4 linked regions of the Anolis sagrei genome follow. The protein of the gene in region 1 interacts with the protein of each later gene in a pairwise test. Links are inferred from orthologs where the notes say so. Each region holds a gene or a part of one and is shown in the gene's direction. Other genes may lie near its edges. The genes, in order: STAM2, PLEKHB2, lipopolysaccharide-induced tumor necrosis factor-alpha factor-like and ENTREP1.

What was found.
Region 2: the proteins of STAM2 (region 1) and PLEKHB2 interact in binary tests that used the Homo sapiens proteins (3 or more experiments, as listed by UniProt). The two-hybrid records come from large-scale screens. The link is inferred for Anolis sagrei from reciprocal best matches to the Homo sapiens genes STAM2 and PLEKHB2.
Region 3: the proteins of STAM2 (region 1) and lipopolysaccharide-induced tumor necrosis factor-alpha factor-like interact in a two-hybrid assay, tested with the Homo sapiens proteins (4 studies listed by BioGRID and IntAct). The two-hybrid records come from large-scale screens. The link is inferred for Anolis sagrei from reciprocal best matches to the Homo sapiens genes STAM2 and LITAF.
Region 4: the proteins of STAM2 (region 1) and ENTREP1 interact in a two-hybrid assay, tested with the Homo sapiens proteins (2 studies listed by BioGRID and IntAct). The two-hybrid records come from large-scale screens. The link is inferred for Anolis sagrei from reciprocal best matches to the Homo sapiens genes STAM2 and ENTREP1.

What each region holds. Positions count from the first base shown.
Region 1 is NC_090021.1:204,402,416-204,410,514, forward strand, and holds the start of STAM2 (signal transducing adapter molecule 2), read left to right. Parts: upstream 1-4,585; 5' UTR 4,586-4,720; coding exon 4,721-4,760; intron 4,761-8,099.
Region 2 is NC_090023.1:219,714,970-219,722,941, forward strand, and holds the start of PLEKHB2 (pleckstrin homology domain-containing family B member 2), read left to right. Parts: upstream 1-4,887; 5' UTR 4,888-5,152; intron 5,153-7,075; exon of another isoform or gene 7,076-7,146; intron 7,147-7,972. UniProt on the Homo sapiens protein: Involved in retrograde transport of recycling endosomes.
Region 3 is NC_090034.1:20,485,916-20,493,474, reverse strand, and holds the start of lipopolysaccharide-induced tumor necrosis factor-alpha factor-like, read left to right. Parts: upstream 1-4,045; 5' UTR 4,046-4,217; exon of another isoform or gene 4,218-4,249; intron 4,250-5,436; exon of another isoform or gene 5,437-7,559.
Region 4 is NC_090022.1:221,871,944-221,880,171, forward strand, and holds the start of ENTREP1 (endosomal transmembrane epsin interactor 1), read left to right. Parts: upstream 1-4,725; 5' UTR 4,726-4,893; coding exon 4,894-5,205; intron 5,206-8,228. UniProt on the Homo sapiens protein: Functions as an activator of the E3 ubiquitin protein ligase ITCH in the ubiquitination of the CXCL12-activated CXCR4 receptor. Thereby, triggers CXCR4 endocytosis and desensitization, negatively regulating the CXCL12/CXCR4 signaling pathway.

The sequences.
Region 1 (8,099 bases):
TTCTGGATAACAAGCAATAGTCTTATGGCTAATATGAAGGTTTTCTGCATATATTCTCCTGCCTTTACATTTCCCACACAAATTAAAAATGAATTTCAACTGATGGTAGTGAAAAATTTGTCAGGTGCCAGGCTTTTATTTAAATTTGATTAGTAACATCAGATTTGGATTTTGGTTCCTATTACCTAGGGAAAGGTCTTCTTGCGTTAACTGTAGCTTTCTAATTGCTGAACATCTTTTTTAAAAGTGTGTCAAAAAGTATAATTGTTCTATACATTCTTCTGTAGATCCTTGTACATATCTCTTATACAAATGTACTTATCACTTCAATTTCTTCCATAAATCTATAGGCTGCTGCTTGTTCTTTTATTTCCAGTCTCTTTAAAATTTCTGACGACGAGACAAAGTGAACAAACTTATGTCAATGAAGTCGGCTTATACAGTATCAACACTGCATCATAACATTGTAAACATCAATTTGCTTCAGAAAAGATAGTCCAGAAACCGTGCTTTATTCTTTGATGTCTGAAAATAGTTGTTCAAAGGTAATAGGTCAGCTTTCCAAATACAAATTTGGGAAACAGGAACACTGATGAGCTCTGCAGCAAGGTCTGATAAATTAACAGTGGGCTCTACAGAAGATGCTTCAGCTGTACTCCATAAGAAGAAAAATCAGCTTGCTTAGCAAGCCTTGCAAACACAGATTTGCAAACACATGTTTGGTTTTTATACTTATTTCATATCCCTGTATACCCAGGATCGTGTAAAAATTTCTCAGGAAAAAAAGGGGCCATAAGTGGAAGTTTTTAGAAGCCCTGCTGTAGAACACATCAGACATTTTAAGACTGAAAACCTGGTAACTTCACCATCACATCAAGCGGTTGGCTGTAAGAGTAGTCAGATATCTAGATGGCCATGAATATGAATGCATAGACCATGAAACTGTTGGCCAGCACTACTACACTGCTGAAAGCATTGATAACAGTGTGCTGTGGAAACAGGAAAAAAACTGACTTTAGCGGTTGTGAGAATGAAGAGATAGCATCAGAAGTCATGTGTCAGAAGAAATTGCTCTTTTGCTGGCTCCTGAACTTCATGGGAGTGGTAGGACAGTTTTCCTTGGCAATAGAGACAGCTTTCCCTGCCATCCCCCCCATTGCTGCGCCACATCCCTCCAGAAAGTGCCTGACATCAGCATAGCAGACTGTTAAGGCACCAAAAGGATTCTGGCCATAATCTCACAAAGGCCATGGCTATTCGCATCATATGCCAAAGTGAGCAGGAATTTGATGTTTTCTGCATTTTGCACGTGCTGTGTTTTCAGCTGCTCTTGTAATGCAATAGTCATCTGACCCAGACCTGGTCACACCAGCAGACAAGGACAACTGGTTTGCAAATGTATTTGTCAGATTAAGGCATTTTTATAGCACTGCACTGAGTGGAATTCTCTGCATTTCCATTCTACATTCTTTACAACATTTGGCACTGCCAATGCAGCTAAATACCAATGTTGGGATTGATTCCTGAACAACATACACTCTGTTTATGGCATGAATATAAAATGCTCTATGTTTGATGTGAGTTGTGATCAACTCTTACATAATTAAGCAAAGTTTTCTCGCCTCCTCAGTTTTTCAATAATCTAATGTTGGATCTGGGATCAAGATTTCAAACTTCCTTCAATGCAGGCTTGTATCTAAGCAAAGAGACCAAGGGTACATCTAGATTTAATGTAGTTAGACACCACTGTAACTGCCATGGCTCAATGCTATGTGGTATATAGCTTGGCGAGGCACCAGCACTCTTTGGCAGAGAAGGCTCAAGATCTTGTAAAACGACAGCTCCCAGGATCCCATAGCATTGAGCCATGGCAGTTAAAAGTGGTACCCAGTTGCATTAGTTCTACAGTGTAGATTTACACAACTCCAAAAGTCTAATGCAGTGTACACACACCTCAAAATAACTTTTCAAGTCAAAGCCTTCTTCCAGAACCTCAGACCTCCACTCCAGCTCTTCAGTGTAAAACAGCAATAGAATCTACATGGGGTTGCCTTTAAAGACTGGAAGCTCCAACTAGTCCAATGGATGGCAGCCAGGTTGCTCGCTGGAGCGACATGCAGACAGCATACAACCCCTCTGCTATGCCACTGGTTGCCAATCTGCTACCAAGCACAATTCCAAGTGTGGGCTTTAGCCTATAAAGCCTTGAAAGGTTCTGGCTCAGCTTACCTATTTGAACGTATCCTCCTGTTATGAACCACTGTGAAGTCTAAGATCAACAGGAGAGGCCCTGCTCTCGGTTCCACCATCCTTGGAAACGTGACTGGTGGACACGAGAGACAGGGCCTTCTCAGTGGTGGCCCCTTGCCTGTGGAACTCTCTACCCAGTGACATTAGATTGGCCCTCTCCCTCTTGTCCTTTAGAATGAAACTCAAAACTTGGCTATGGGACCAAGCGTTCGAACAGTAGAGGCAGAAATTTAGAATGAGACCCAGTTTGTGTGAATGACAATGGACAGACCTGGACTATGATTTCAAACCTGTGTGATTTAAACAATGTTTTAGTAATTTTAAAGCAGTAATGAATTGTTTTAATTGCTTTTATCATTTATTACTGTTGTTTGCATTGAATGAATGCCTCTTGTGAAGCCGCTTTGAGTCCCCCTCCGGGGGATGAGAACAACGGGATACAAATATGCGAAATAAATAAATAATCTCTAACTGCCTGACTTGGGAAGACAGTCCTGATTAGTCCCATTGTCTTGACTTCTTCAACTGCTTTTAAAATGTCCTGAGGCCCTTCCACACAGCCCTACATCCCAGAATATCAAGGTAGAAAATTCCGCTTTATCTGAGTGTGGACTCAGATAACCCAGTTCAAAGCAGATATTGTGGGATTTTCTGCCTTGATATTCTGGGATGTAGGGCTGCGTAGAAAGGCATCTTGATTTTATTAAAATGTTGTATGACCGCAATATATCCCGGTTTTCACCATCTCCAAAGTTAGAGGTATGTGGACTGAAAGGGCAGAATCACAATAGGGTAATTGCATGGGAAACAATCCTACAGTCGGTATATTCTTGGGGGGGGGGGGCAATTATTCTTACTTATATATTAGAAAGTAAAGGTAAAGGTTTCCCCTGACATTACGTCTAGTCGTGTCCGACCTTGGGGGGTGGTGCTCATCTTCATTTCTAAGCCGAAGAGCCAGCGTTGTCCAAAGACACTTCCAAGGTCATGTGGGCAGCATGACTGCATGGAGCGCTGTTACCTTCCCACATAAGCGGTACCTATTGATCTACTCACATTTGCATGTTTTCAAATTGCTAGGTTGGCAGAAGCTGGGGCTGACAGTGGGAGCTCACACTGCTCCTTGGATTCGAACCTCTGACCTTTTGGTGAACAAGTTTAGGAGCTCAGCGGTTTAACTCGCTGCGCCACTAGGAGGCCCACTTAGCTATTACACATACTTATCAATTTAGGTTTCAGCTTCCCACCATATGGCTGTTAGAGACCCCAGCATAAAAGAAAAACTTATTCTGAATTCTATTGGATTTGCTTAAAGTGCATCTAGACTGGAGAATGAATGCAGTTCAACATCACTTGAACTGCCATGGCTCAATGCTATGGAATTTTAGAATTTGTAGTTTGGCAGAGGTTAAAGACCTTGTCAAACTACAACTCCCATGATTCTATAGCACTGAGCCATGGCAGTTAAAGTGTTGGCAAACTGCATTCATCTACAGTACAGATTTGCACAGCCCCAAAGTCTCATTTTTGTAGTTTGCTGATGCACCAACACTTTTGGGCAGAGGAGGTTAAAGACCTTGTAAAACTACAACTCCCATGATTGTATGGCACTGAGCCACGACAGTTACAAGTGCTGGCAAATAGTATAGATTTGCACAACCCCCAAAGTGTCATCTTGTTCTGAACTCCCCTCCCCTTCTCCTCACTGGAACTTGAATGCCTTGACTGCTTAAAACAGCAGGCCTTACTATGGTCCCTTCCACACAGCCCTATAACCCAGGATATCAAGGCAGAAAATCCCACAGTATCTGCTTTGAACTGGGATATATGGCAGTGTACTGCCATATATCCCAGTTCAAAGCAGATACTGCGGGATTTTCTGCCTTGATATCCTGGGTTATAGGGCTGTGTGGAAGAGCCCTATATTACCAATGGATTGCAAATGCAGTCAGCTGCCTTGCTACTCTTTTAACTTCCAGGCAAATAGTGAAGCGCTCTCAACAATGTTTATGTCTACACGCCTCTATTTCTTAGGACCCTGAAGCCAGGTGTCTATGTATTGCCTGTCTCCGCAGAACGCCAATCAATTAAGTGTTCTTCTCCACTCTTCTATCTCTATGCGCCTCTCCTTCCTAGGACCCCGGTGCTAGGTGTCTATTGTATTGCCTGCCTCCTTAGCCGACATTTTCCCTTAGTGTCGAGGGAAACGTAAAAGGGGGGACGCGATGTTCAAGCCGTATTCCTCCTCCTCCTCCTCCGACCTTCGCGTCTCCTCAGGCGCGCGCTGGACGGCAATGAAGCGAGAGGGCGGGTCCTTCGCGGAGGGCGGAAGAGGAAGTTGGGGAGAGGAGAGGAGAGGGGCGGGGCTGAGTGGAGGAGCAGGGGCTGGTGGGCTGCGTCTCTAGTCGCTCCTTCCTTCCTCCCTTCCTTCAGCCGGGTCTCTTCGCCTCCCCTTCCCTCTGCCGCCGCCATGCCGCTCTTCGCCCCCAACCCCTTCGAGCAGGATGTGGGTGAGTCGAGGGCCACGGAAGGGCCCCAGGGAAGAAAGCCAAGCAGGGCCTGGCCTGGTTAGCACTTGGGAGGGAGGCCACTGCCAGGTCTCTTTCAAGGGAAGGAACTGCCAAGGCCCCTTCTTGTTTAAGGGCCCTTCCACACAGCCCTATATCCCAGAATATCAGAGTGTGGACTCAAGGCCCTTCCACACAGCCCTATATCCCAGAATATCAAGGCAGAAAATCTCACAATACCTGCTTTAAACTAGGTTATCTAATCCAATTCAAAGCAGATATCTAATCCAATTCAAAGGCTGGTCCCCTTTGGGGCGAAGGGAAGACAAAGTGTCAGGCTAGCAAAGACTTCTCTATGCCGACAGTGACTCAAGGGGCCCATCCACACAGCCCTATACCCCAGAATATCCCACAACATCAGAGTGTGAACTCAAGGCCCTTCCACACAGCCCTATGTCCCAGAATATCAAGGCAGAAAACCCCACCATATCTGAGTGTGGACTTGGATAACCAAGGGCCCTTCCACACAGTCCTATGTCCCAGAATATCAGCTTTGAGCTAGATTATCAAATCCAATTCAAAGCAAATAATGTGGGATTTTATTCAGCTGTGTAGAAGGGGCCTAAGAAGCTCCTATGGAGTTCTTGGGGCCACTCGGCTGGCAGGTGACTTGAAGGCACTTCACACAAAAAGGCTTTGGGGCAAAGGGAAGACAAAGTGTCAGCCTAGCAAAGACTTCTCTATGCCGACAGTGACTCAAGGGGCCCTTCCACACAGCCCTATATCCCACAATATCTGCGTGTGGACTCAGGGCCCTTCCACACAGTCCTATGTCCCAGAATATCAAGGCCGAAAACACCACAATATCTGCTTTGAGGTGGGTTATCTAATCCAGTTCAAAGCAGATAATGTGGGATTTTATTAGGTAGAAGGGACCTAAGGAGTCCTTGAGGCCATTCATCTGGCAGGTGATTTGAAGGCACCTCAAACACAAAGGCTGGTCCTCTTTGGGGCAAAGGGCAAAGGGAAGATGAAGTGTCAGGAGAGCAAAGACTTCTCTAATCCCACAGTGACTAGACTGTTGTGAGCCAAAACCCCCACAATAACAGCTTAGAACTGGGTTACCTGACTCCACACTGCCATATATCCCAGCTCAAAGCAGATATTGTGGGGTTTTCTGACTTGATATTCTGGGTTATATAGCTGTGTGGAAGGGCCCTGGGATTTTATTCAGCCATGTGGAAGGGGCCTGGCGCATCTACATTGTAAGATTAATGCACAGCAATACCACTTTTAACTGCCATGACTCAGGACCCTTCTACACTGCCATATAATCCAGATTATCAAAGCAGACAATCCACATTATCTGCTTTGAACCGGATTATCTCAGTTTACATCCAGTTCAAAGCAGATAACCTGGATTTTATATGGTAGTATAGAAGGAGTCTCTGTGCTGGAGGATCATAGGAGTTGTGGTTTTACAAGGCTTCATCTGCTAAAAGGTGTAAGTGCCTCATTAGGCCACAGATTCCTTGATTCCATAGGATCACACTACAGAAGCCTAAAGACCCTTCTACACAGCCATATAACCCAGTTCAAAGCAGATAATGTGAGATTTTATACAGCTGTGTGGAAGGGACCATAGGCCATATCATCCAGAATATTAAGGCAGAATAACCCACAATATTTGCTTTGAACTGGAATATCTGAGGGCCCTTCCAGACAGGCCCTATATCCCAGAATCCCATTTTCTGCTTCAAACTGGATTATATGAGTTCACACTGTCTGGGATAAACAGAAAACCTGGAATCATATGGAAGGGCCCTGAGTCCACGCTGTCAGATAATGTGGGATTTTATTCAGCTGTGTGGAAGGAGCCAAAGTGCTGTCAAACTGCATTAATTCTACATTTCAGAAGCACCACTTGTAAGGTCCCTCTTACACTAGATATGACCAGTGGTTTGTATGTGTTTTAATGATGAATGTTTTAAGTTTTAACTTTAATCGTTTTAACTGTTTTAACTGTTGTGGTTTGTGGATTTTGAACATTTTAAATATTGTTGTTGTATGGCTTTGAGTTCCAATCTGGGGGGAAAGTGGGACATTAGTAATAGTAGTAGTAACCAGGGTTCCTTGGCATGACTCAGGGGATGCTGTGCCAATATCCAGCCACACAATTCCTGAGTCATTGGGGCAAAGAGAGAGTTTCCTGGTGAATGGGCCCCCAAGTGTCTCAATCGCGATAAAAGCAGGATATAAGTAATTATAATCCCCACCTCCATTCAGATATTTTGCACTGGCCAAAAAGGAGGTCACTCATTTTCTTGGGGTTGTGGCTGTGTATCATTTCAGACCATATTCCCAGAATGCAGACCATATTACCATAGCACAGAGTTGTTTCTATTGGCATGGGTTTGGGTTGTTGTGTTTTGGTTGGCGGTTTGGGAGGAAATGACTTTCTGATTAAGAGATTATTGTTCCGGAAATACTGTACTCTATATTCCTGAAACTGGGTCACAACTATTTCATGTTGTTTCTTCCAACTTATAAATATTTGGCCCGTTTCCCATGCGCAACATGGAAATGGGTCTCTTCATCTCTAGAATTTCTACTATCTTTGTGAAATGTTCTGCTGGCTGGGAGCTACCCAAGGGCAGTTCTTTCTCAGCTGTCAAATGTAGAACTGAACCTGAGAGCTAATGATTTGCCCAAGAGTAATTCAAGGGTGAGTCAGGTTTTTAGCCTGACTCCTGCTCTGGTTGTTTGTCAGCTGGACTGTTATCTCTTGTGTACTCAAGCAACCACAAAGCAGAACTATACTTCAAAGTAAGCGTCTTATGCTGGTCTTGCATTCACTGTATGATACACATGTATAAAAGAAGTGTTATGCCTTTGTCAGTCCAAAGCTGACCTGAACTTTCCACTATGACATTATTACATTAAAAACCAAGCAGAATAGGATTTTTCCTCCTTGCAGAAATGGCCTTATAAGTATTGTAATCTCTGCCACTTCCTTTGCTCACCTGCGGCATGTGACAGGTTATGTACTTTCAAGTATTTTCACTCTGAGTGATTTAAGGCTATGTTGGCACACACCAAGTCCTTGAATTGGCTCCAGAAATGAACCTTATGTCTTAAAGGTTGTTGTTCAATATTTTGTAGTTTAGAGGGTTAAGTTGATTTGGAGGTTGGGGATCTGGCATGGATGGCTGTCTTGATTTAACAACATAGATTAGTTCCATAGTTAGATTGAAAGAACAAAATATGTTTGTTTTAAAATGCATTGTGGTGTACAGTTTCACAGAATGTTCTGAAAGCATTGAGTTGAAATTAATGGATTTA
Region 2 (7,972 bases), on another chromosome or scaffold:
GAGGTTTATTAATTCAGCAAAATGCTATTTGGTTTAAAAGGAAAACAATTTACAATCAGAAATTCTAGCTAGGATTATTATTATTATTATTTCTTGGCTCGAGATGGGTTACAAAATAATTAAAATACATAAACACAGCAAAACCACTACATATACACACTGAAATGTACCCCCCAAGTTACACACTCAAACATATCTCTATAAAATACGTACTAAAACACACAAAACAGAGATCAAACAAAGGAAACTTAAAATTCATGTTAAAAGACTATCTGGGTATGCCTGCCAGAAGAGATAGATACTTACATGGTTTCTAAATTCCGTCAGCTCATTTAGCTGTCAGAGTTCTTCTGGCAGGTAGTTCCACAGTCATGGGGCAGCCAATTAAAAGGTCCTCTGGGTAGTAGTTGCTAGTTGGGTTCTGGTTGGTTGGACCAAATGCCCCCAGAAGACCGAAATGTGTTGGGTGGATTGTATGAGAGAAGGTGATCCTTTAGGTAACCTGGACCCAAACTATGTAGAGCTTTAAAGTTCAAAACTAACGCCTCGTACTTTGCCTGGAAATGAAGTGGTAGCCAGTGGGGTGACTTTAGGATAGGTATGCAGGCCCGTAGCCAGGATTTCGTTTCCGGGGAGGCTGAATTTTTTTTCAGGGGGGTTGGGGGGGGGGGCTGAGTCTGAGTGAAAGAGGGTCTAGCCTAGCAAACCTTTTGTATCATTACCCCAATACCCCCATGCATATGGGATATATTGAGTATGGTGATCAGATCATGATATGAATAAACATAACAGTTTAAATAATGCACCAGTAAGGCCTTTTCGCGAACCAACATGAAAATCATGCCTGTAGGTATGATATGCTTATTTCAAGATGTTCCTGTAACCAATCCGGCTATTGTATTTTGGACCAGTTGGAGTTTCCAAACTTGGTACATGAGTAACCCAATGTAAAGTGCATTGCAGAAATCCAGCCTTGAGGTTACCAGTGCATGCACTACTATCTTCAGGTCTTCCAAATCTAGGAAGGGGCGCAGCTGGCATATCCGCCGAAGCTGACAGTAAGCACTCCTGGCCATCGCATTTACCTGGGCTGACATTTGGAGAGACAGATCCAGGAGTACCCCCAAATTGCGATACACAGTCTTTCAGGGGGAGTATAACACCATTCAGAGCTGGCTGACACACCTCTATCCTCAGATGAGGACCCTACCCTTTATAGCAAGCACCTCTGTTTTGTCTGGATTCAGTTTCAATTTGTTTTTCCTCATCAAGCCTATTACCTGATCCAGACATTAATTCAGTGGAGACACACTATCGTTAGCTGAAGCTGTTTTTGAAGGCATGGAGAAATATATTTGGGTGCCATCAACATATTGATAATGCCTTGTCCCATGCTTATGGACGATCACTCCCAGTGGCTTAATGAAGAATTAAAGAGCATTGGGGATAGAATGGCACCTTGGGGGACACCACATAACAGCCCTTTTTTGGAGGAGCAGCTATTCCAAAGCACCACCATCTAGAACCTGCCTGAGAGGTATGACCAGAACTACTGCAGCACAGGGCCTCCAATGCCCAGCCCCTCCAGGTGTTTCAGAAGGATACCATTGTCGATGGTATCGAAGGCTGCTGAGAGGTCTAGAAGCACCAACAGGGACACACTCCCCCTGTTGATGCTGAGACGGAGATCACCCACTAAGGCAACCATCACAGTATCAACTCCGTATCCTGCTCTGAAGATAAGATACAAGGAAAGAGAATTAGAGAATAATAAGGATAAGAATAAATTGCAGCAAGAATTGACTAAATTCCAACAGCAATATGATTTATTACTCACGAATGAGTTAGAACAGAAGATTACATATATTAGACATAAACAAACAAGGAAAACTGTTAGCATGGCAACTAAGAAGGAAGCAGCTAATAGTAAAGGAGTAAAGGAGAAATAATTACATATATGTGACTAATTCAAAAGCAATTTGAAGACTATTATAGAAATCTATATAAAAGCAATTAGATAAAAAGAAGATTGATCTGGATGAAATGAATGTCACTAAGCTCACAGATGAAATGAAAATAGAGCTGGATAAGCAAATTACACAGGAGGAGCTGTTTAAGACTATTGACAATGCCAAAATAAATAAAGCCTCAGATCCAGATGGATTTTCTGCTTGGTATTATAAGTCATACAAGGAAGAACTGGCCCCACTATTTCTTTCTTCAATGAATCAAGTTATGCAGAAAGGAGAAATACCAGATTCATGGGCAGAGGCCACTATATTCCTAAGCAGGATGGAGATATGTAACAAGTTTAAAACTTTAGGCCAACCTTGTTAGTAAATTGTGATATAAACTATTTGCAGAAATTCTAGCAAATACGTTGTGCATAGCATGTTTCCGTCAGATCCAGTGCAGAAGATACAATAACATTGCACCCAGGCAAGAGGAAAAAGAACAGAAACACTTTACTCTTATCAGCAGAGTTAAAACATAAACTTGCAATGTTGCAAACAAAAACAAACAGTGCAACAAACTTACATAGTCCTTGTAAGCAATACAGAATAAGGCTTCTTCATCATCATCCAAATGAGAGAGCAGTAGAAATGGTTGAGTAAAATGCCTGAGCAAAGGCTTCTCAGAGCAAAAACCGAACTGTATTCTAAAACCCATACAGTTATACCCCACTGCGTGTTGACCAAACTTTTAAAAATACTAGAGATGTCAGAGAAAGATCCTAATAGAGATATTGCTCTACTATTTTTGGATGCAGAGAAAGCCTTTGATAATGTCTGCTGGGAATTTATGGGAAAGGTACTATTAGAGCAATATAGAGTTGGTCAGCAATTTAAAAAAGCCAAAGATGTAATTATTCAAAACAGAGAGCTAAATTGTCAATTATTAAACTATATTGAGATACAGAAAGAGACGAGACAAAGTTGTCCCTTGTCACCTTTATTGGTTAGTTGCATGCTAGAAATATTGAACATTAAAATTAGAAAAGAGAGTGGCATCAAATGAGTGAAAATAAAAGGATATGAATTTAAAGTAAAGACATACACGGACGATATGGTATGCATTTTATTTCCAACACATAGGTGCGGGGCAGGAGGGGAAAGATTGGATAGAATATTGCAATATATTAGTTTGGGGAAACATCAGATTTTGTTCATCTTCATGGTTTCCTCCTTTCTGTTGAAATTGTCCACATGCTTGTGGATTTCAATGGCTTCTCTGTGTAGTCTGACATGGTGGTTGTGAGAATGGTCCAGCACTTCTGTGTTCTCAAATAATATGCTGTGTCCAGGTTGGTTCATCAGGTGCTCTGCTATGGCTGATTTCTCTGGTTGGAGTAGTCTGCAGTGCCTTTCATGTTCCTTGATGCGTGCCTGGGCGCTGCGTTTGGTGGTCCCTATGTAGACTTGTCCACAGCTGCATGGTACACGGTAGACTCCTGCAGAGGTGAGAGGATCCCTCTTGTCCTTTGCTGAATGTAGCATTTGTTGGATTTTCTTGGTGGGTCTGTAAGTGGTTTGTATGTTGTGTTTCCTCATCAGTTTCCCTATGCGGTCAGTGGTTCCCTTGATGTATGGCAAGAACACTTTTCCTCTGGGTGGATCTTCATCTTTACTCTCGTGGCTTGTTCTCGGTTTTGCAGCTCTTCTGATGTCTGAGGTGGAGTATCCATTGGCCTGGAGAGCCCAGCTCAGTTCATCTTGGAGGAGGTGGGGTTCGCAGATTCTTTTTGCACGGTCTGCCAAGGCTTTAATTGTGCTTCTTTTTTGACTTGGGTGATGGTTGGAGTTTTTATGTAGATATCTATCTGTGTGTGTGGGTTTTCTGTAAACGGTGTGACCCAATTGTTGATCTGATTTGCGGATGACTAGGACATCTAGAAAAGGCAGTCTTCCTTCCTTTTCTTTTTCCATAGTGAACTGGATGTTTGGGTGGATGCTGTTAAGATGTTCCAGGAACCTGTTGAGTTCTTCTTCTCCATGGCTCCAAATAGTGAAGGTGTCATCCACATATCTGAACCATATAGTGGGCTTTTTGGTTGCTGTTTCAAGGGCTTGTTTTTCAAAGTGTTCCATGTAGAAATTAGCTATGACTGGGCTGAGAGGGCTCCCCATAGCTACTCCTAAATACCAACGACAAACTGATCAGCTTCGATGTGGTATCTCTATTTACCATGGTCCCAGTAGCAGACACCATGGCACTCATCAACCAGAGGTTCCCAGAAGACATCATGGCTCTGTTTCACCATTGCCTCACCACCAGCTACTTTCAGTGGGACAATGAGTTCTATGAACAGAAAGATGGAGTAGCTATGGGGAGCCCTCTCAGCCTGGTCATAGCTAATTTCTACATGGAATTACATATATTAGAAACCAACACTTTCCCATTACTTTATTTTCAAGATCACCAGACTGGGCCTCAGCAACGCGTGCCAGGGAACAGCTAGTTTATTATATTATTAGCCCAGCACAGGAGACAAGGTATTATTGTACCTTATTATTGTATTGCTAATGCTATTATGATTAATAATGGGAACACAATTTTAATAATAGTTGCTCTTAATAATTGACTTGTTTGTTATTTGGCTATTATTTATTGATTATTATGATTCATTGTGAACGATTAGCAATCATTCATAAAACAATAATAATGGCATCAACAACAGTACAGAGATGATGATGATGGCACGTGACCAGTCTGGGGCGGGGGGTGGGGTTGACCGAGGGTGGAGGGGGAGCAGCCTTCCTTCGGGCCGCGAGGATTCCTCCGACCACGTGAGAAGTGACGCGCGTGCTCGGCTCTTTTCGACCCCACCCCCTCGCGGGTGACGTAGCCTCGCTCACGGCCTCGAGAGAAAGGAGGGGGAAATCTGCGCGCGCAGCCGTCGCCTCATCCTTTGCTCCCAACCCGACGGGAGGATGTGACGTCGCCGGGCCGCTAGGTTGCTGCGCAGTTCTCCAGAGCAGGCAGAAGGAAGGAAGGTGTGAGGGAGGCGGCGAGGCTCGTTCTTGTGGTGTTGGTTGTGGCAGCACTCTCCCCTTCTTCTCCTCCTCCTCCTGCCGCGGGCCTTCGAGAGCCAGAGCTCGACAGCCGGGCCAGGGTCGCCGCCCTCGCCGCGACGACGACCAGCCGCAGTTCGGTGAGGGAGACAGGGACCAAAGGAGGGAGGGCCTCTCTCTGTGCTTCAGGACAGGCCAGTCAAGGATGTCAGGCCCAGCCAAGGCCTTGTTTCCCGGTGTCCGCCGTTTGGCGTCCCCCGCCTTCCTCTTTTGGGGGGGGAGAACCCGTTGTATTATTAATAAACTAGCCGTCCCCTGCCACGCGTTGCTGTGGCCCAGTCTGGTGATCTGGAAAATAAAGTAATGAGAAAGTGTTGGTTTCTAATATATGTAATTTTTTTATGCTTGTGTTGATGTAGAGATTGTCTGGTTGGCCTACTCTGGAGCATGCAAATAGCATGTTTGTCCTTCAACAAAACACCTCTCAACAAAAGATTCCCCCAGGCTCAGCCAGGCCTTCAAATGCTAATGAAGGTGGTCAGTTGAAACATTCACACCTAGCTCCAGCAGAGAAGAGCTCTTTGCCCCACCCCAGTCATTCCACAGATATATAAGCCCATTTTCCTAATTCCAACAGACCTCACTACCTCTGAGGATGCTTGCCATAGATGCAGGCGAAACGTCAGGAGAAAATGCCTCTAGAACATGGCCATATAGCCCGAAAAACCCCACAAGAACCTAGTGATTCCAGCCATGAAAGCCTTCGACAATACATTGAGCATTGTCCTTGTTTAGGGGTCCCTTTCAAATCTATGATACTATATCTGTGTTTGTGTGAGTCATATATCTCTATATCTATGACTAGATGGCTCTTGGCCAGGAGGGCTTTGATTATGTTTTCTTGCACTGGAGAAGGGAGTTGGACTGGATGGCCTTAAGAATTTTCTGTTAATCATGGGGGTTCTGTGTGGGAAGTTTGCCCCAATTCTCTCATTGGTGGGGTTCAGAATACTCTTTGATTGTAGGTGAACTATAAATCCCAGCAACTACAACTCCCAAATGAGAAAATCAATTTTTGAGTGATGGTCACTCATTGGGTTGTTAGGCGTCTTCTGTCCAAATTTGGTGTCAATTCATCCAGTGGTTTTTGAGTTATATTAATCCCACAAACAAACATTACATTTTTATTTATATAGATAACGTGTTAACTGAAGTATTTTTCTTAAGGCTACAAGCCTTAAGAATTAATTAATAATTGTTTGTTTATTTCTCAATAAGTAACTATTAACTGAGGTAGGCTTGTCAAGCTCATGTCCCTTGATCCAGGAGTCACAAATGAATATTTCTCTTGTTATTAATAAATTACTGTTAAATTAGTTATACTCATGATTGTTTAATATTAATCAGTTAATACATATAATAAATATACCTCAGTTAAAATTAGATACATTCCTGGGCATTTTTTTTTGTAGCAAAAATATTGTGGGCTCTTGGTATCTTGTTAAATTATTTATATTTACTAATGTCTGTTTATTAATTAGTGAATACATATAATAAATATACCTCAGTTAAAACTAAGTAGATGCATTTCTGGGCCCTTGATATCTTGCTGGGGTTTGTTTCAAGGACTCCTTGTGAATACCAAAAATGTGTGGATGCTCAAGTCCTGTTGTATATAGTGGCATAGTAAAATTGTGTTCTTTATATAAAAACAAAAGTCAAGAGGGGACTGAATTTTTTCAAGCCATAGGTGGTTGAATCCTACCGGATGTTAGGAATTGTGGAAATTGAAGTCCAAAACACCTGGAGGGCCCAAGTTTGCCCATGTCTGGAGTAGACGAACCCTAGGTGACCCTGTTCAGTCTAACGTAGTGTAACTCTTGAAGTGCAGTGCAAGTTAAATCAGGATCCCCGCTTGGTGGACTCTCCTGCCTTTTTAAAGAGCTGCGTGAGAAGCAGAAATTAAGCTGATGAAAGGATTCTGGCTGCAGGGCCACCGGGTATGTCAGTCTAGACACAAGAGGTCCTGATGACAGATAAACCTGAGTTGACCATCATGGAACTACTGGGATGTTTTGTTCTGAATGATGGAGTTACTATTGTTGGTAATTCAATAATTGTAGTGCAGTAATAGGTACGTAATATGTGCAATGACAACTGGAATGGCCTCAGATTACGATTGTGGATGGTGTGGTTTTTAATAGTGAATGTAATGTTTTTAAATGTTTTAATGTTGATTAATTTTAATTTTTAATTTAAATATTCATTTGAATTGTATGTTGTTTTAGTCCTCTTTGTGGTTGAGAAAGGCAGAGTATAAATAAAATACTTTGCTACTGTGGGGAAGATAAAGTTCGTGTATGTATGCTGAGAGAAAGGCATATATAAGTCCAATTAAAAATGCATTTGTTGGACAGCCGTATATTGGATTGCTGCCAAAATATGAGCAGAATATGACGGGAAGGGAAGGTCTTTCTCCGTACTTGTCTTCTGCAACAAACCCTAAAGGTACCAGATCCTTTCAGATCTTGGAAGTGAAGCAAGGTCAGGTCTAGTTAGTATTTGCATGAGGAACCACTAATGTATATCGGAGGCTGTATTTCAGAGGAAGGAAACTGGAAAAAACACTTCTGAGTATCCCCTGCTTAATAAAATCCAGTGAAATGCCTGGGTTTACCATAAGGTGACTTCTAGGCAAATACACAATCAGTAATGGAATGGGGTGGCTTAATGCTAAGAATCATTGCTGGGTGTAAGAAGTTAGCGGTTGGAAAACCCAAGTGAATTGTGATAGTTGGTACTTCTGTGGATGAAATCATCATTCCTTCTCAGGGTAAGTGAAAGAGCAGATTGTTGTTTGCTTTTCGCTGTAAAGTCACTGAGGTGACTAGTTTTACTGCCATGGCTCAATGCTGTGGAAGTTTTGCAATATCTTGTTGCTGTTGAGCTATGGTAGTTAA
Region 3 (7,559 bases), on another chromosome or scaffold:
TGGGAGCGACGCGCCTTCTCTCCCATTGTCCGAGTCACAGATAAAGATGTGGAACATGTCAAATGAGGTCCGGGCGGAAAGGCAACAGGTGTGACTGAGTTTTAATACAAACCTCCTAGTAATAAACAGGGCATTCAGCATTTCACACCTGTAATAAACTGGCGATCCCACCCACCTGCCGGATCAGGGCCAGATTTAGGGCGTGTTGGGGAAAAAAGTTTTATATAGAGTTTGCCTTGGATGCTTCGAGAGACGGAAGCAGAGAGGGAGCAGTTTGTTGCTTTGTGGAGGGCTCAAAGGCAAGGCTATCATTGCAAGGTTATCTGGGGCTGAGACCGTGCACCCTGCCCAAGGGCACTCATTAGGCTTCATGGCCAAAAGGGAGGATTCAAACCCTGGACTCCAGAGCTTTAATCTAACATTCAAAACACTGCGGCACCTTTGCTGGCAGGAAGTTGAAGGGGTGCTGCTTTTCATGAACAACTTGGTATAAGCAAGCAATTTGAGCACTGGAGGACTATTTTCTGAGATCTGGGTTCGCATCCTCACATAGAAACCCACTGGGCCCAAGCCATACTCTCTCAGCCTCAGAGGAAGGCAAAGGGCAAACCTCCTTTGTATAAATCTTGCCAAGAAAAACCAGTGACATGTTTGCTGTAGGGACACTGTAAGTTGGAGACATATACACTTATCAGCAAACTGGAAGGGTCCAAAAGTCCTTTTATCATACGATAAAATGGGTATTGATTATAAGATGCAATCTAGCCTTGTATGCATTTCTTTGTGTTCTGGGGGAGTCCGGAGAGAGGGCTGCGTAGATTTCTATCCAAGAAGGTTGCCAAGATTTTATTATGATGCTGAGAAGGTGCAACTTGCCCAAATTCAAGGCATTCGTTTTTTGGAAATCCTAATAGAAAGAATGCTGGAGGCTGAGAGAGTGTAACCTGTGGAGTTTCAATAGCCAAGTGAGGATTTGAACTTGTGTCTCCTAGAGGCCTAATTCACACAAACCACTGAGCCATTCCAGCTCTCCAAAATAATAGGGGCTGGACCACTCTCACAACCACCATGTCAGACTACACAGAGAAGCCATTGAAATCCACAAACATGTGGACAATTTCAACAGAAAGGAAGAAACCATGAAAATGAACACACTACCAGTATTAAAAAATTCTAAAATTGCAACAGCAAAAACAGCAGAGAGAAAAACAGGCAGGGACATCTAATCACCTTTCAAGAAGAGTTTTGCTCCAGGCACAGTCAGCCCATTGTATGCTAATCAAGGTGGTCAGCTGAAAGATTCACACCCAGCCCAACTTACAAAAGCCCTTTGTCTCACCCTGGTCATTCCACAGATATATAAACCCCCTTTTTCCCAGTCCCAGCAGACCTCACCTCTGAGGATGCTTGCCATAGATGCAGGCGAAACGTCAGGAGAAATGCCTCTAGAACATGGCCATATAGCCCGAAAAAACCCACAAGAACTGAGGATAATAGGGGTTCCTTATCTGGATCAATTCAGAAAGGGGTCTCCCTCTGAGGCTGAGAGGGTGTGGCTGTCCCCATGCCACCCAAAGGATTTCCATGGTTGAGCAGGGATTCGAACCCTGTTATTTCAAATTCCTGATATTATTGGCCTTTGACAAAGTGTTATAATGAATGCATTGAGTACGGAAACTGAATTGGACCAGAACTTGGAAGGTAAGCAATTTATTTCTCAGACAAAACAGGCCCAGCTTAACTACAAGGAGAATGTAACCATTGCCACTGCATTTTCAGTCTTGGCCTGCTTTGAATGCAATCAGGAAAAGCACTGCATTCTGTATCATTGCAAGCACTGCTTCATATGCAGTCAGAAGAAACGCTGCATTATGTAACATTGCAAGCATTGTTTTTTAGGCAGTCAGAAGAAGCACTGCATTATGTATCATTGCAACCACTGCTTTGGATGCAGTCAGGAGAGCCTGGTATTCTGTATCCTTACAACCACTGCTTTGATTGCAGTCAGGAGAAGCCACTGCAAACATGCATCCTTGCAATGATGTATCCTTACAACCATTGTTTTGGATGCAGTCAGGCGAAGCCAATGCATTAATGCAGCGGTTCTCAACCTGGGGGTCGCGACTCCCCAGGGGGTCGTTTGGCCATTTCGGAGGGGTCGCGAGGCCGCCTCCTTCGGCCCCGCCCACAAGGCTGCGAGTCCTCCCTGGGCTCCTTGGCGTCCTCGCCAAATGGCGAGGCCGCGAGGCGGCCGGGGGCTCCTTTGCACGAGCCCTCCCTGGGCTCCCCAGCGGGCTCGCCAAATGGCGAGGCCGCCAAGGAGCCCAGGGAGGGCTTGTGCAGAGGCTGCCTCGGCTCCCTCGCAGCTTCGCCAAATGGCGAGGCCGCGAGGCAGCCGGGGGCTCCTTTGCACGAGCCCTCTCTGGGCTCCTTGGCGCCCGTGGGGGAGTCCAGGGAGGGCTTGTGTGGAGGCTGCCTCAGCTCCCTCGCGGCTTCACCAAATGGCGAGGCCGCGAGGCAGCCGGGGGCTCCTTCACACGAGCCCTCCCTTGATTGTGGGCTGGATTCAGAGTGTACTTTGATTGTAGGTGAACTATAAATCCCAGCAAATGCAACTTCCAAATGTCAAGTCAATGTTCCCCAAACTCCACCAGTGTTCACATTTGGGCATATTGAGTATTCGTGTCAAGTTTGGTCCAGATCCATCATTGTTTGAGTCCACAGTGCTTTTGGAGGTAGGTGAACTACAATTCCAAAACTCAAGGTCCATGCCTGCCAAATCTTTCCAGTATTTTCTGTTGGTCATGGGAGTTCTGTGTGCCACATTTGGTTCGATTTCATCGTTGATGGAGTTCAGAATGCTCTTTGATTGTAGGTGAACTATAAATCCTAGCAACTACAACTCCCAAGTGTCAAGGTCTAATTTCCCCAAAATCTACCAGTGTTCACATTTGGGCAGATTGAGTATTCTTGCCAGGTTTGGTCCAGATCCATCATTGTTTGAGTCCACAGTGCTACAGCTCCAAAACTCAAGGTCAATGTCCACCAAACCCTTCCAGTATTTTCTGTTGGTCAAGGGATATCTGTGTGCCAAGTTTGTTTCAATTACATCGTTGGTGGAGTTCAGAATGCTCTTTGATTGTAGGTTAACGATAAATCCCAACAACGATACTGCTGAGTTGCTGAGCTTGTTGATCAAAAGAGCGCAGGTTCAAATCCAGGAAGTGGCATTAGCTTCCGCTGTCAGCCCCAGCTTCTGCCAACTTAGCAGTTCAAAAACATGCAAATGTGAGTAGATCAATAGGTACTGCTCTGGTGGGAAGGTAACGATGCTCCCTGCAGTTATGCTGGCTACATGACCTTGGAGGTCTCTACGGACAACGCTGGCTCTTTGGCTTAGAAATGGAGATGAGCACCACACCCAAGTCAGACATGACTGGACATAATGTCAGGGGAAAACCTTTACCTACAACACCAAATGACAAAACCAACTCCCCCCCCCCAACCCCACCAGTATTCAAATTTGGGTGTATCAGGTAATTGTGCCAAATTTGGTTGGGGGGTCACCACAACATGAGGAACTGCATTAAGGGGTCACGGCATTAGGAAGGTTGAGAACCACTGCATTAATGTATCCTTGCAACCATTGTTTCGGATACAGTCAGGAGAAGCCACTGCAAACGTGCATCCTTGCAACGATGTACCCTTACAACCATTGTTTCGGATACAATCAGGTGAAGCCACTGCAATCATATATCATTGCAACCATTGCTTCGGATCACTGCAAACATTGCCAAAGTCCTGGCCTGCTTCAGATGCAGTCAAAGCCATAGAAAACACAATTTAGCTGGCCTTGGATCAGTGCCGCAAAACTCTCCAAAACAAAGGTGCTCCTGTTGAGAGGTGCTATCTTGAATGGACACCCAACCAAATGAGCCCTGTCTCATCCAACCCGTTCCCCGGCATTCCTCTTTGGGATGTTTGCGTTTGGAAAGAGGATGGAGTGCTTGGCTAACCGGAGGGTAATTACACAGCTGCTCCATTTCTCCTCCCTTCCGGCCAAACTCCTATCTCTTCCTGCCCCTTTGAGATGGGATAAACCCTCACTCCGGACCTGGGCTCCAAGTCAGCAAGATCTTAGGAATAGATCATGACCCTTCCTTGGACATCAGAGGAGCCAAGAGGCCGATGAAGTGAACAGAGACTCCGGGAAAGAGGTACCAGTTCTATCTGATCCTGGTCCACACAGGTAGGGAAATCATTTCTTCCTAATGTTCAGATGGAATCCCTTTTTCTGCAATTTGAATCCAATACTCTGTTGTGTCCCAGTCTCTGGAGCAGCAGAAAACAAGCCTTGCCCCTTCCTCAACAGGGCATCCTTCCAAATATTTCAACATGACTCTCATATTCTTCTATCCGCCTTCTCCAAGCTAAACATCCTCAGCAATTTAAGCTGTTCCTCATAAGCCTTGGCCATTTTGGTCCTCCTTCCCGCTTGTCCATCTCTTTCTTGAATTGCTTTGCTCAGAACTGGATACAGGGTTATTATTCCAGGTGAGATCCAACCAAGGCAGAAAAGAGTGGGACTCTACACCGCCATTGATGCAGTTTAGGATCACATTGGCCTTGTTAGCATACATCACAAACATAACTATTATCAAGACATAGCCAAGATTACTTCTATCAATTTAGACACTAGACTCCTATTGTTGCAGCCTAGGATCGTATTGGCCTATTTTGCTGCTGCATCACACTGTAGTCTCTCATTCAGTTTCCAGTCTGCTAAGACTCTAGATCATTTTCTCAGACTTAGATATAGTCAATCCATGGTCAATATAACTTCCCTCTGTTTAAACGCTAGACTCCTATTGAAGTAGTCTAGGATCACATTGGCCTTGTTAGCTGCCACATCACACTCTTGTATTATTATTATTATTATTATTATTATCATTATTATTACTACTACTACTACTACTACTACTATTATTAGATACACAAAAAGACTAGTACACAGCAAACAAGATCACTATGCTGGCTTTTGTATTGGATCACACGTCGGACACCACAAGTTTCTAGGACTGTGTGATGTATTGGTTAATAATGCGTGCAGATCCAAGAAGGGGGCCTTTTGCAGCTGACAGGTGGTGGTATTATTATTATTACTATTACTCCTCAATCCCTTTAACTCCTCTATCTGTACACTTCATTGTTATTGCCTACTGAAATTCCGTTTTGTTAGTTCTGGACAATCAGCTCTCTAATCTGTTGAGGTCATTTTGGATCCTGGTCCCATCCTCTAGGTCAGGGGTCCACAAACTTTTTAAACAGAGGGCCAGGTCACAGTCTCTTAAACTGTTGGAGGGCCAGATTATAATTTGAAAAAAAACATGAATGAATTCCTATGCCCACTGCACATGTTATTTGTAGTGCAAAAAAAACCCCCACTTAAAAACAATACAATAATCAAAATGAAGAACTATGTTAACAAATATAAACTTATTAGTATTTCAATGGGAAGTGTGGGCCTGTTTTTGGCTGATCAGATAGGATTGTTGTTATTGTTGTGTGCTTTTAAGTCATTTCAGACTTAGGTTGACCCTGAGCGAGGGCTGGGTGAATGACCTTGGAGGGCCGTATCCGGCCCCTGGGCCTTAGTTTGAGGACCCCTGCTCTAGGTATTTGCTGTCCCTCCCAAATTTGGATCAGCCTGCCTTCTAGTCTGTCATCCAAGCCACTGATAAAGCTTCTGAATAGCCCTTAAAGGCCCAAGACAAGACCCCAAAAGTCACTTCTCTCCAGGAAGAAGGGGGAAGCCATTGGATAGAAATAGCGGGTGAACTAGTTCCCAATCCACCTAACAGTAGCTTTGCTTGTTGCATCATCCCAACTTTCATGCATTTTCCAAGCTTAAAACTATTCCGAAACAGATAAAAAAAGACAGAGGACCAAACAGACATTATGGGATCGGATGGAGAAACTAGCTTCCAGTTGTTTTTGAGCATATGGATGGGTTGGACTATAACTCCCAGAACCCCATTTTGGCCATACTGGATGGGGGATTCTGGGATTTGTAGTCACCCTGTTCCGAATCCAATTTGTAGGTCCAAAACTAGAACCAACCCATCTGGTCAATAGGAAGTAATTAATTTAATTTCTGGATCCATGATATTAAGGACTCAGGCATTGGAGTCATGTAGCCCATCTTCCCAAGGCAGGCATGGCTGTGGATGATGGGACTTTGTATCCCCCAAAACAAGGAGACTCGAAGTGAAACCAAATGGGAAACACATCACTTGGAAGCTGTCCTTTGGCTGCCAAATAGCTGTCATTGTGGGGCAAATGCTCTCTAGCAAGGGAATGGCACATGAATAAACCGCATCATTTAGAAAAAATGTGGACGTTTATAGCGGCCCAAGGAGTGGTCAATTGCCACCTACCTCCACATTCTTTCATCAGGAATGCATGAATGGGGCCAATTTGCATGGGTTGGAGCACCAAGTGGAGGCAAATCAGGCTGGATGAGCAAGCCTTTAGAAAGGCTGCTCAGAATCGAGGCCCGTAATTAGAGGAAGGTATTTCTCTCATTAAAGGCTGATATCACCAACACGTGGGGGCCATGACATCACACCTTTAACCACACTTGCACATTGAGGCCTTGTTTGTCTCCTTTGGGGAGCCATTGCAAAACAAAGGCAAAATACGGAGCTTAGGAAAAGCATGTACAGAGGCTGTCAGGGTTGTTTTTGTGTCTCTGACTTGGTCCAAGGTACAAGTGGATTCATGGTGTGTATAGGTGGGATACAAATTAATATCGTCATCATGCAGTGAAACCAATGTGATTAAGGCAGTATAATATCTTACTATTTTCTTAATTTATAGAAAGCTAGTTGGTCTCACCTTGTAGACTCAGTTGATGCTGAAAAGGAGGAGGGTGGGATATACAATTCTATATTTATATTCATTGTATATCGACTTTTAAGTTTCTCAAGTCAGGAGCAACCTGAGAAACTGCAAGTCGATATACAATGAATAAAGTAATATCTTTTACTGCCCTATTAGCATTGTTTTTATTACTGAGTTGTTTTATGCATTTCTCCCAATCACAGGACTCAAAAGTGGCTAACCATCCTACAAACTGGAACCAATGCAAAACCAGAATATATATATTTCTTCCTCCCCTTTTTTCTTCTTCTTCCTCCTGTTCTCCTCTTTCCTCCTTTTCCTTATTGCAGTCTACCATTAGTTGTGGACTGTCAGTTATTTGGATTTTGTCCAAAACAATGAGAATCGGTAGACAATGTGGTATGTGTTCCAAGCTGCCTCCTGTTTTGCAATTGCTATGTTTTGACTTGGGATTCAACCAGGCAGATTTGTTCAAAGGGCTTTTGCTTTTGCCTCCCTTGGAGGCTGAGAGAGTGCAACTTGCGCAAAGCTGCTCTTCCATGGTTAAGCAGGGATTCGAACCCGGGAGTCTTCAAAACTCAAACCACTATACTGCTCTGCTTCATCTTGTTCTCTATTTCTTTTAGGACTGCTGTTTGGTTGCAATCTGCAGGTTG
Region 4 (8,228 bases), on another chromosome or scaffold:
GAACATGTAGGACTCTCCAGCAGTATATGTTGTGGCTTGAAACTTATTCTTGTTTTAAGAACGTATTAGATTATCCTGTGAATTTGATGCCAGCAGTTTTTGGCTTTTTTTATAGTTCCACCTCATATGGTGGTAGGCGCCTTCATGAACTTCTCACTTGCAACATGTGTTATTTATGGAATTTAAAATCCACAACATACACATATTAGAATTGTAAACATAAATCAATTACAATAACTTCATGCACTTAAAAACTGTTAAAATAACATAGCTCAACAACATTTTCTTCTTCGTGCTGGATTTTTGGGGTTGTTTTTTTCATTTTCTGGGGTTATTTGGGGCAGTAATTCAGAAAACTGCATTGGATGGACCACTACGTTTCTTTGATATAGTTATAATGATTTCTTATGATTGAGTAGATGAAGACTAGTATATGGTATATGTTCTGTATCTCAAAAACAAGAGTCAATAGGAGAAAACTAGTGTCACTTTTGGAATCGGCATGTCAAATATACACAGAAACCTCTATCTCGAAGGAAAGGATGTCTAGACAAGACAATTAAATCGTGCCTTTGTTTTTATTATTATTTAATTGAATTATGTTTGTCTGTTTTAGATGTGTCCTTTTACTTTGTCCTTTTTGATGATGTGTTTTTTGGGGGTTTTTTTTTGGTGAAACGTAATAAAAACATTATAAAAACATATACATAGAAACACTTTTAACACTGGAGGTACCAAAATGTGTGTTGGTCAGTGTTATGTATGAAATTTAAAATCCACAACATACAAATATGAAAACAGAGTTAACACAAGTCAATTAAAATCACTTCCAGTAGTAAAAGGTTGTTAAAATAATCACTCTTTAAGACAGTGTATAGGTGCTCCCCTTGTCTCAATAATCCTCAAGTTCAAAAGTGACCAAACAAGTGAGGGTTGCAAGACAGGAAAGCCTAAATCAGGCATAGGCAAACTTCAGCTCACCAGGTGTTTTGGACTTCAACTCTTACTATTTCAAAGAGCCAGTAGGCTGTTAGGAATTGTGGGAGTTGAAGTCCAAAACACCTGGTGGGCCAAAGTTTGCCCATGCCTGGCCTAAACTCTTTGCCCAGCCTTCAGCCCCCAGTTAGAGAATGGTGGTCAATTGGTGCCAATTCATTAAGTCTTTGACAACAAGCTCCCAATTTCCTCTTTCCTGAGGCCTTAGAAAGGCGACATATTATCCTGGTGGCATCTGCATCCTCCGCTCCCCTGCCTCTCGGGAAGAGTTATTTTAAAACTTTTAGCCTCACACCAGGATAACAGCAACAGGGAAAAGGCGGGGGATAAGTGACAGGGAACACAAATGTTTCAGCTGGTATTGCTTTAAAAGTGAGGCCCCCGCTCTTCTCTGTTCAGGAGAGGGTTGGCAGTTGGAGAGGATTTTGGTTTACATGTTGGGAGAGAGGACCGTTGGCTCCAAAGAAATGTTTTGCCCCTAAATAGAGGCGACTTGGCAGCTCTTGAATAATGCTGAAGAGTTTTCCCAACGGCTGGCTGGGAGTGAAAACGTGGAGAGGATTTGGTTGGCACAGTTTGGACTTCCGTTATCCAAAATGCTTGGGACCAGATGTGATTTGGATCTGCAAGTATTTGTGTATACACAAAACCTTGAAAGGTGACCAAAGATGGATTTACCCTGGAAAACAAGGCATTATATGGGTCTCCACTGACCATATAATGCCTTACTTGGCAGTGTACATCAGGGATCCTCACACTTTTGAAGCAGAGGGCCAGTTCATGATCCCCTTGACTGTTCAAGGGTCGGACTATAGTTTGCACAAAAAAAAGGAAAAAAGAATTAATTCTACACACACTGCACATATCTTGTTAAAAATGAATTCTACACACACTGCACATATCTTATTTGTGGTGCAAAAGAAAAACCCATAAAATAGCAATAAATATCTAAAATGAAGAATAATTTTAACCCCCAGTGGGTTAAACTGTTGAGCTGCTAAACTTGTTGACCAAAAGATCACAGGTTCAAATCCAGGGAGCGACGTGAGCTTCTGCTTTCAGCCCCAGCTTCTGCCAACCTAACAGTTTGAAAACATGCAAATGTGAGTAGATCAATAGGTACCGCTCCGGTGGGAAGGTAACTGTGCTCCATGCAGTCATGCCGGTCACATGACCTTGAAGGTGTCTACAGACAACATCGGCTCTTCGGCTTAGAAATGGAGATGAGCACCAACCCCCAGAGTCGGACACGACGACTTAATATCAGGGGAAAACCTTTGCCTTTAAACGTACCTGTATTTCAATGGGAGAGTGGTGTTCCGTCTTCCAGGAGCTTGGTTTGCATTGCCCTTTAGTTGCTTGAAATAGCATCCCTTTACATTTCCCCCAGGGTTGCTACAGTCTTAGCAGCACCCTAATGGTCAAACATTAACAGAGGCTGGAAGCAAGCCTGCAAGACTTTTGCAGCTATTGGCTTAAAAAAGTATCTCCTTGGTCCAGAGACTGCCCTTTTTCCTGGGGGTAAGATCTCCATTTTGGAGAAGCTCTCCTGCCTTCTTCAGTATAGAAAAAGCCTCAGATGTGCTGGTGGCCAAGCTAGGCAGCTCGGACAGGCCATCGTGAGTACGGTTACCCTCTTGCCTTAGAAACTGGTGCTGTGCTCAGATAGGGGAAGACCTGCTCTTTCTAAAAGATAGCAGCTCAGCGCTGGGGCAGAGAATATTTCAGGATTTCTCTGCCATTGGGAGAGGCTCCATTACTTCATCCTCAAGCTAACCTTGGGCTTGGATAGGGGAAGACCTGCTCTTTCTAAAAGATAGCAGCTCAGGGTTAGGGTAAAAGATCCCAGGATTTTTCTACCCTTGGAGAAAGTTAACTCGGCAGCTGAAGGAAAAAAGAAAGAAAGAACATCTATATAATTTCACCAGTTGACCGTTTGTGTTTGTAACTTCATCAAGCTGTGCCAAGTCTGTCAAGGACTTTGAGAAATAAATGTTCTGTTTGATCTTCAAATCTGGACTGGCCTCAGTTGCTGGGAATTCTGAGCTTCTAAGTAAGGCACTCGCAGTTCACCCGGATAAAGAGAGAAGCACATCTTAGTTTTAACTTTGTATTGTCCGGGTGTGATGGCACAAGTGGATTTAGTTTTGGCTGATGAGAGAGTTTACTTGTCCGAACGTATCTCCCACTACGATCCACCTAGGGCCCTAAGATCATCTGAGGAGACCCTGCTCATTGTCCCCCCACTGTCACAATCGTGTTTGGCGGGGACAAGGGACAGGGCCTTTTCAGTGGTGCCCCCCCCCCCCGGGCTGTGGAACTCCCTCCCGAGTGAAATTAGATCTGACCCTCTTGACCTTCTGGAGAAAAATAAAGTCCTGGCTATAGGATCAGGCCTTTGGAGAATAGGCTGACCTACTGAGGTGTTGACTTATTTAGAACTGATGGACTGCCCTTGGATAATGATTTAAATCAGTGACCACTGACTATTTGTTGTCTGTTTTTATATTCATAGAATCATAGAATCAAAGAATTGGAAGAGACCTCATGGGCCATCCAGTCCAACCCCCTGCCAAGAAGCAGGAATATTGCATTCAAATCACCCCTCCATCCAGCCTCTGTTTAAAAGCTTCCAAAGAAGGAGCCTCCACCACACTCCAGGGCAGAGAGTTCCACTGCTGAACGGCTCTCAGTCAGGAAGTTCTTCCTCGTGTTCAGATGGAATCTCCTCTCTTGTAGTTTGAAGCCATTGTTCCGCATCCTGTCAGATGATATTAAGCAAAACACAAATCTTCTTATAGGACTGAAACACGGAGGCCACGTCTACACATTGGTGTAGATCAGTGGTTGCCAACCTGTGGTCCGCGGACCACCAGTGGTCCCCGAGAACTAAAATATGGTCCACGGCCTCACTGTTACTACACCATTGCAACAAGAGCAACTTGTCTCATGAAACCCTCTTATAGTGACAAGGCAGCAGGGATGTTGGGAGGGAAGAGGCAAAGAAGGAGCCTCCACCACACTCTGGGGCAGAGAGTTCCACTGCTGAACGGCCCTCACTGTCAGGAAGTTCTTCCTCATGTTTAGATGGAATCTTCTCTCTTGTAGTTTGAAGCCATTGTTCCGCGTCCTAGTCTCCAGGGAAGCAGAAAACAAGCTTGCTCCCTCCTCCCTGTGGCTTCCTCTCACTTGGCTATCATATCTCCTCTCAGCCTTCTCTTCTTCAGGCTAAACATGCCCAGCTCCTTAAGCTGCTCCTCATAGGGCTTGTTCTCCAGACCCTTGATCATTTTAGTCACCCTCCTCTGGACACATTCCATATTGTTTTTATATTGTTTATACTGTTTTATATTGTTATTATTACATTATTGTTAATTGGATATTTATATTTTGATGTGGGCGTCATGGGGTGCCACTTTGTCACCCCTGCGGAGGTTGAGAAAGGACGGGATAGAAAAGCCCTAAATCAATAATCAATCAAGTCGTTCAATTCAAGAAGTATTGCAGAAAGGTCATGCCACTGTCCACTTCCAAAAGGGTGAGTGTAGATGGGGCCTGGGAAGGAGGAGGAGGAGAAGCAGGAGTTTTCAAAGTTGGGAGAGTTTAACCTTTGGAGGAGGAGTTGGCGGCTTTGGAGACAAAAGCCTCGCGAGAAACAAAACAACTACGAGGCGAAGGCTGAGTGTCCAGCCGAGATATGTGTGTGTGTGTGTGTTGTGTTGACTAGGGAAAACTGGGCGGGAGGAGCAGCGAGGGGCTTGCAAGAGGAGGAGGAGGAGAAAGCAGAGGAGGAGGCGGAGCTGCCCCTCCGCCTCCCTCGCAAATCCTTCAGCAGCAGAAGCAGCCTCCGCCGCCGCCGCCGCCTGTGGAGCCGAGCTGGCCTTCCCGCTCTGCCTCATGTCCCTGCCGGTGGTGCTGCCGGGCTCCTGCTGCCCGGTGTCCCGGCTGTCGGCGCTGGCGCCCTCCTGCTCCGCGGAGGCTCCTCCGCGCGGGCCCCGCTCCGCCCGGCCCCTCAGGCCTGCCCGCCGCTGCGCCCCCGGGGCCCCCTCTTCCTCGGGGCTGCTGCTCCTCCCGGCGCGGCCCCTGCTCTCCCTGGGGCTCCTCCAGCTCATGCTGGGCGGCTGCATGGTGGCGCTCAGCTTCGGGGCGCTCTCGCTCAGCAGCTCCCCGCAAGTCAAGAACTCCTGCCCCTTCTGGGCCGGCGCCTCGGTGAGTGCACTGCCTGCGCCCCCACGCCTTGCCTGCGCCCCCCGGGCTCTCATTTACAGCGCCATCGCATCAGAACAAAGTCTGTGTGTATGTATATCTCCATATGCAGTCTAGATCAGGCATGGGCAAACTTCAGCCCTCCCTCCAGGTGTTTTGGACTTCAACTCCCACAATTCCTAACAGCCTACCGGCTGCATATGGAGATATACTCTCATAAAGATACATGCATACAGGGTGGGGCAGAAAGTCACAAAGAGGTTCCAATATTTCATAACTCCTTTGTTTTTCTTGTTTACTATAATAATAATAATAATAATAATAATAATAAGCCATAACTTTATTTACAGTGTATGCATAGGATCTATACACATACACACATACACAAGGTGGGCCAGAGAAGTCACAAAGCAGTTTCAATATTTCATAACTTTTTTTGTTGTTTACTATAAATAATAATAATAAGCTATAACTTTATATACAGTGTATGTATAGGACCTATATATACATATATTTATGCACACACACAAGTTAGGCCAAAGAAGTCACAAAGCGGTTTCAGTAGTTAATAACGCCTTTATTTGTTTTTTTTTGTTTACCATAACTTTGTATACAGTATATATATAGGATCTATACACACATATATTTATGCACACACACATAAACAAGGTGGGCCAAAGAAGTTACAAAGGGGTTTCGATAACTCCTTTTGTTTGTTGTTTTCATTTACTATAACTTTATATATATATATATATATATATATATATATATATACACACACACACTATATATATATATATATATATATATATATATATATATATATATATGTTGTGTATATAGGACCTACATACACATATACACACATATATAAGGTGGGCTAAAGAAGTCACAAAGAGGTTTCAATATTTCATAACTCATTTATTTGTTTTTTTTGTTTACTATAACTTCATATACAGTGTGCATATGACCTATATACATATACAAGGTGGACTAAAGTCACAAAGGGGTTTCAGTATTTAATAACTCTTTTATTTGTTTTTTGTTTTTGTTTACTATAACTTTATATACAGTGTATGCAAAGGACCTATATACATAAACACACACACACACACAAGGTGGACTAAAGAAGTCACAAGGTGGACTAAAGAAGTTTACTATAACTTTATATACAGTGCATGCATAGGACCTATACACATACACACATCTATACACACACACACACAAGGTGGACCAAAGAAGTCACAAAGAGATTTTAATACTTAATAGCTTTATTATTTGTTGTTTTTCAACAAGATAGGTTCTGTAGATTTGTTCTTAAGTTGAATTTGTATGTAAGTCAGAACTGGTATATTTTTAAACTGTAACTCCACACACACACACACACACATATATATATCCACATCTATCTATCTATCTGTCTATATCCATATCCATATTCTATTCTATTTGATTTGTCCTTAGGGCTTCACGCAGATCTTCCATTTGCCAGAATATACAATTTTGTGCTTTTCTTTTCTATTTCTGGCTAAATAGTGTAACTAATGGTTTGTCTCATCAACTACAAGGTTGGCTCAACGGCCACTTGTGGTCTCTTGTTATCCAGTTCATTAGTGTCCCTCAGTTTGGCTAGCATAGGGAAGGGTTAACAGCCTCGTGGTGTTTTGTTTTGTTTTGTTTTAAGCCCCTGTTCAGAAGATTTCACCTCTCTTTCTGTCCCTGTGATCATTGGATTTTTAAAAATGTAACTTGTTGTTGAAACAAGGATTGGTGATAAAACTTCAATGGAGACCCCTTTCCCCCATGATAACATTTCTGGAGTGAATCTCCTTTCCGAGGAGTAGATTTTTCTCATTTTTGTTATCTCACCCCCGTTCTTAACTATTAGTTGTTAGTAAGTCAGATGTTTGTAACTCAGGAATTGCCAGTAACTCCTATTTTTAAAATGTTATATGCAATATATGGTATATAGGAGATAAATTTGCACCACGTGTGAAAAATTAAATCTTGTCAGTAGTGTTTGGTATTGTAACATCATATTATAAAGTATACATAGAACTCCTGTATATATAGGATGTCCCAAAAAAGTCACAAAGGGGTTTTTGTATTTAATAACTCCTATTTGTTTTGTTTTTAATTTATGGTACCATAGCATCATATACACAGTATTGGAAATAGTAACCTTCTGCAATCCTCCTATACTAGTTATTTTATCATTCAGATTGCTTACTATATTGTATATGTGTGTATTGCAATATGTATATTGTTTGAAGTTGTGGGAGGGGCTGCAGATCATGTGATCAGATCTGGGACTATTCAGACTGAGACTCCATTTTAGAAGTCAGTGTTCGATCAGTATTGTATTGTTTAGTCAGTGTTGATTAATCATTAAGCATTAGACATAAGACAGAGAAAAAACTGCAACAGAATGCCTTAGAGAACTTGCTGTTTAAACTTTCAACTGATAAGCAATGTACCTGTATGCTGAATATATGAAATTTGTAAGTAAACCAACTATGTTACTTTTAACAAAGACTACTTATTTTCGTCTCTTGAGAACATGATGTAAAATCAAAGATATATTATTGGCACAGCGGATTAAACCGCTGAGCTGCTGAACTTACTGACTGAAAGGTTGGCAGTGCGAATTCAGGAGGCAGGGTAACTTAGAATCATAGAATCAAAGAGTTGGAAGAGACCTCATGGGCCATCCAGTCCAACCCCCTGCCAAGAAGCAGGAATATTGCATTCAAATCACCCCTGACAAATGGCCATCCAGCCTCTGCTTAAAAGCTTCCAAAGAAGGAGCCTCCACCACACTCCGGGGCAGAGAGTTCCACTGCTGAACGGCTCTCACAGTCAGGAAGTTCTTCCTAATGTTCAGATGGAATCTCCTCTCTTGTAGTTTGAAGCCATTGTTCCGCGTCCTAGTCTCCAAGGAAGCAGAAAACAAGCTTGCTCCCTCCTCCCTGTGGCTTCCTCTCACATATTTATACATGGCTATCATATCTCCTCTCAGCCTTCTC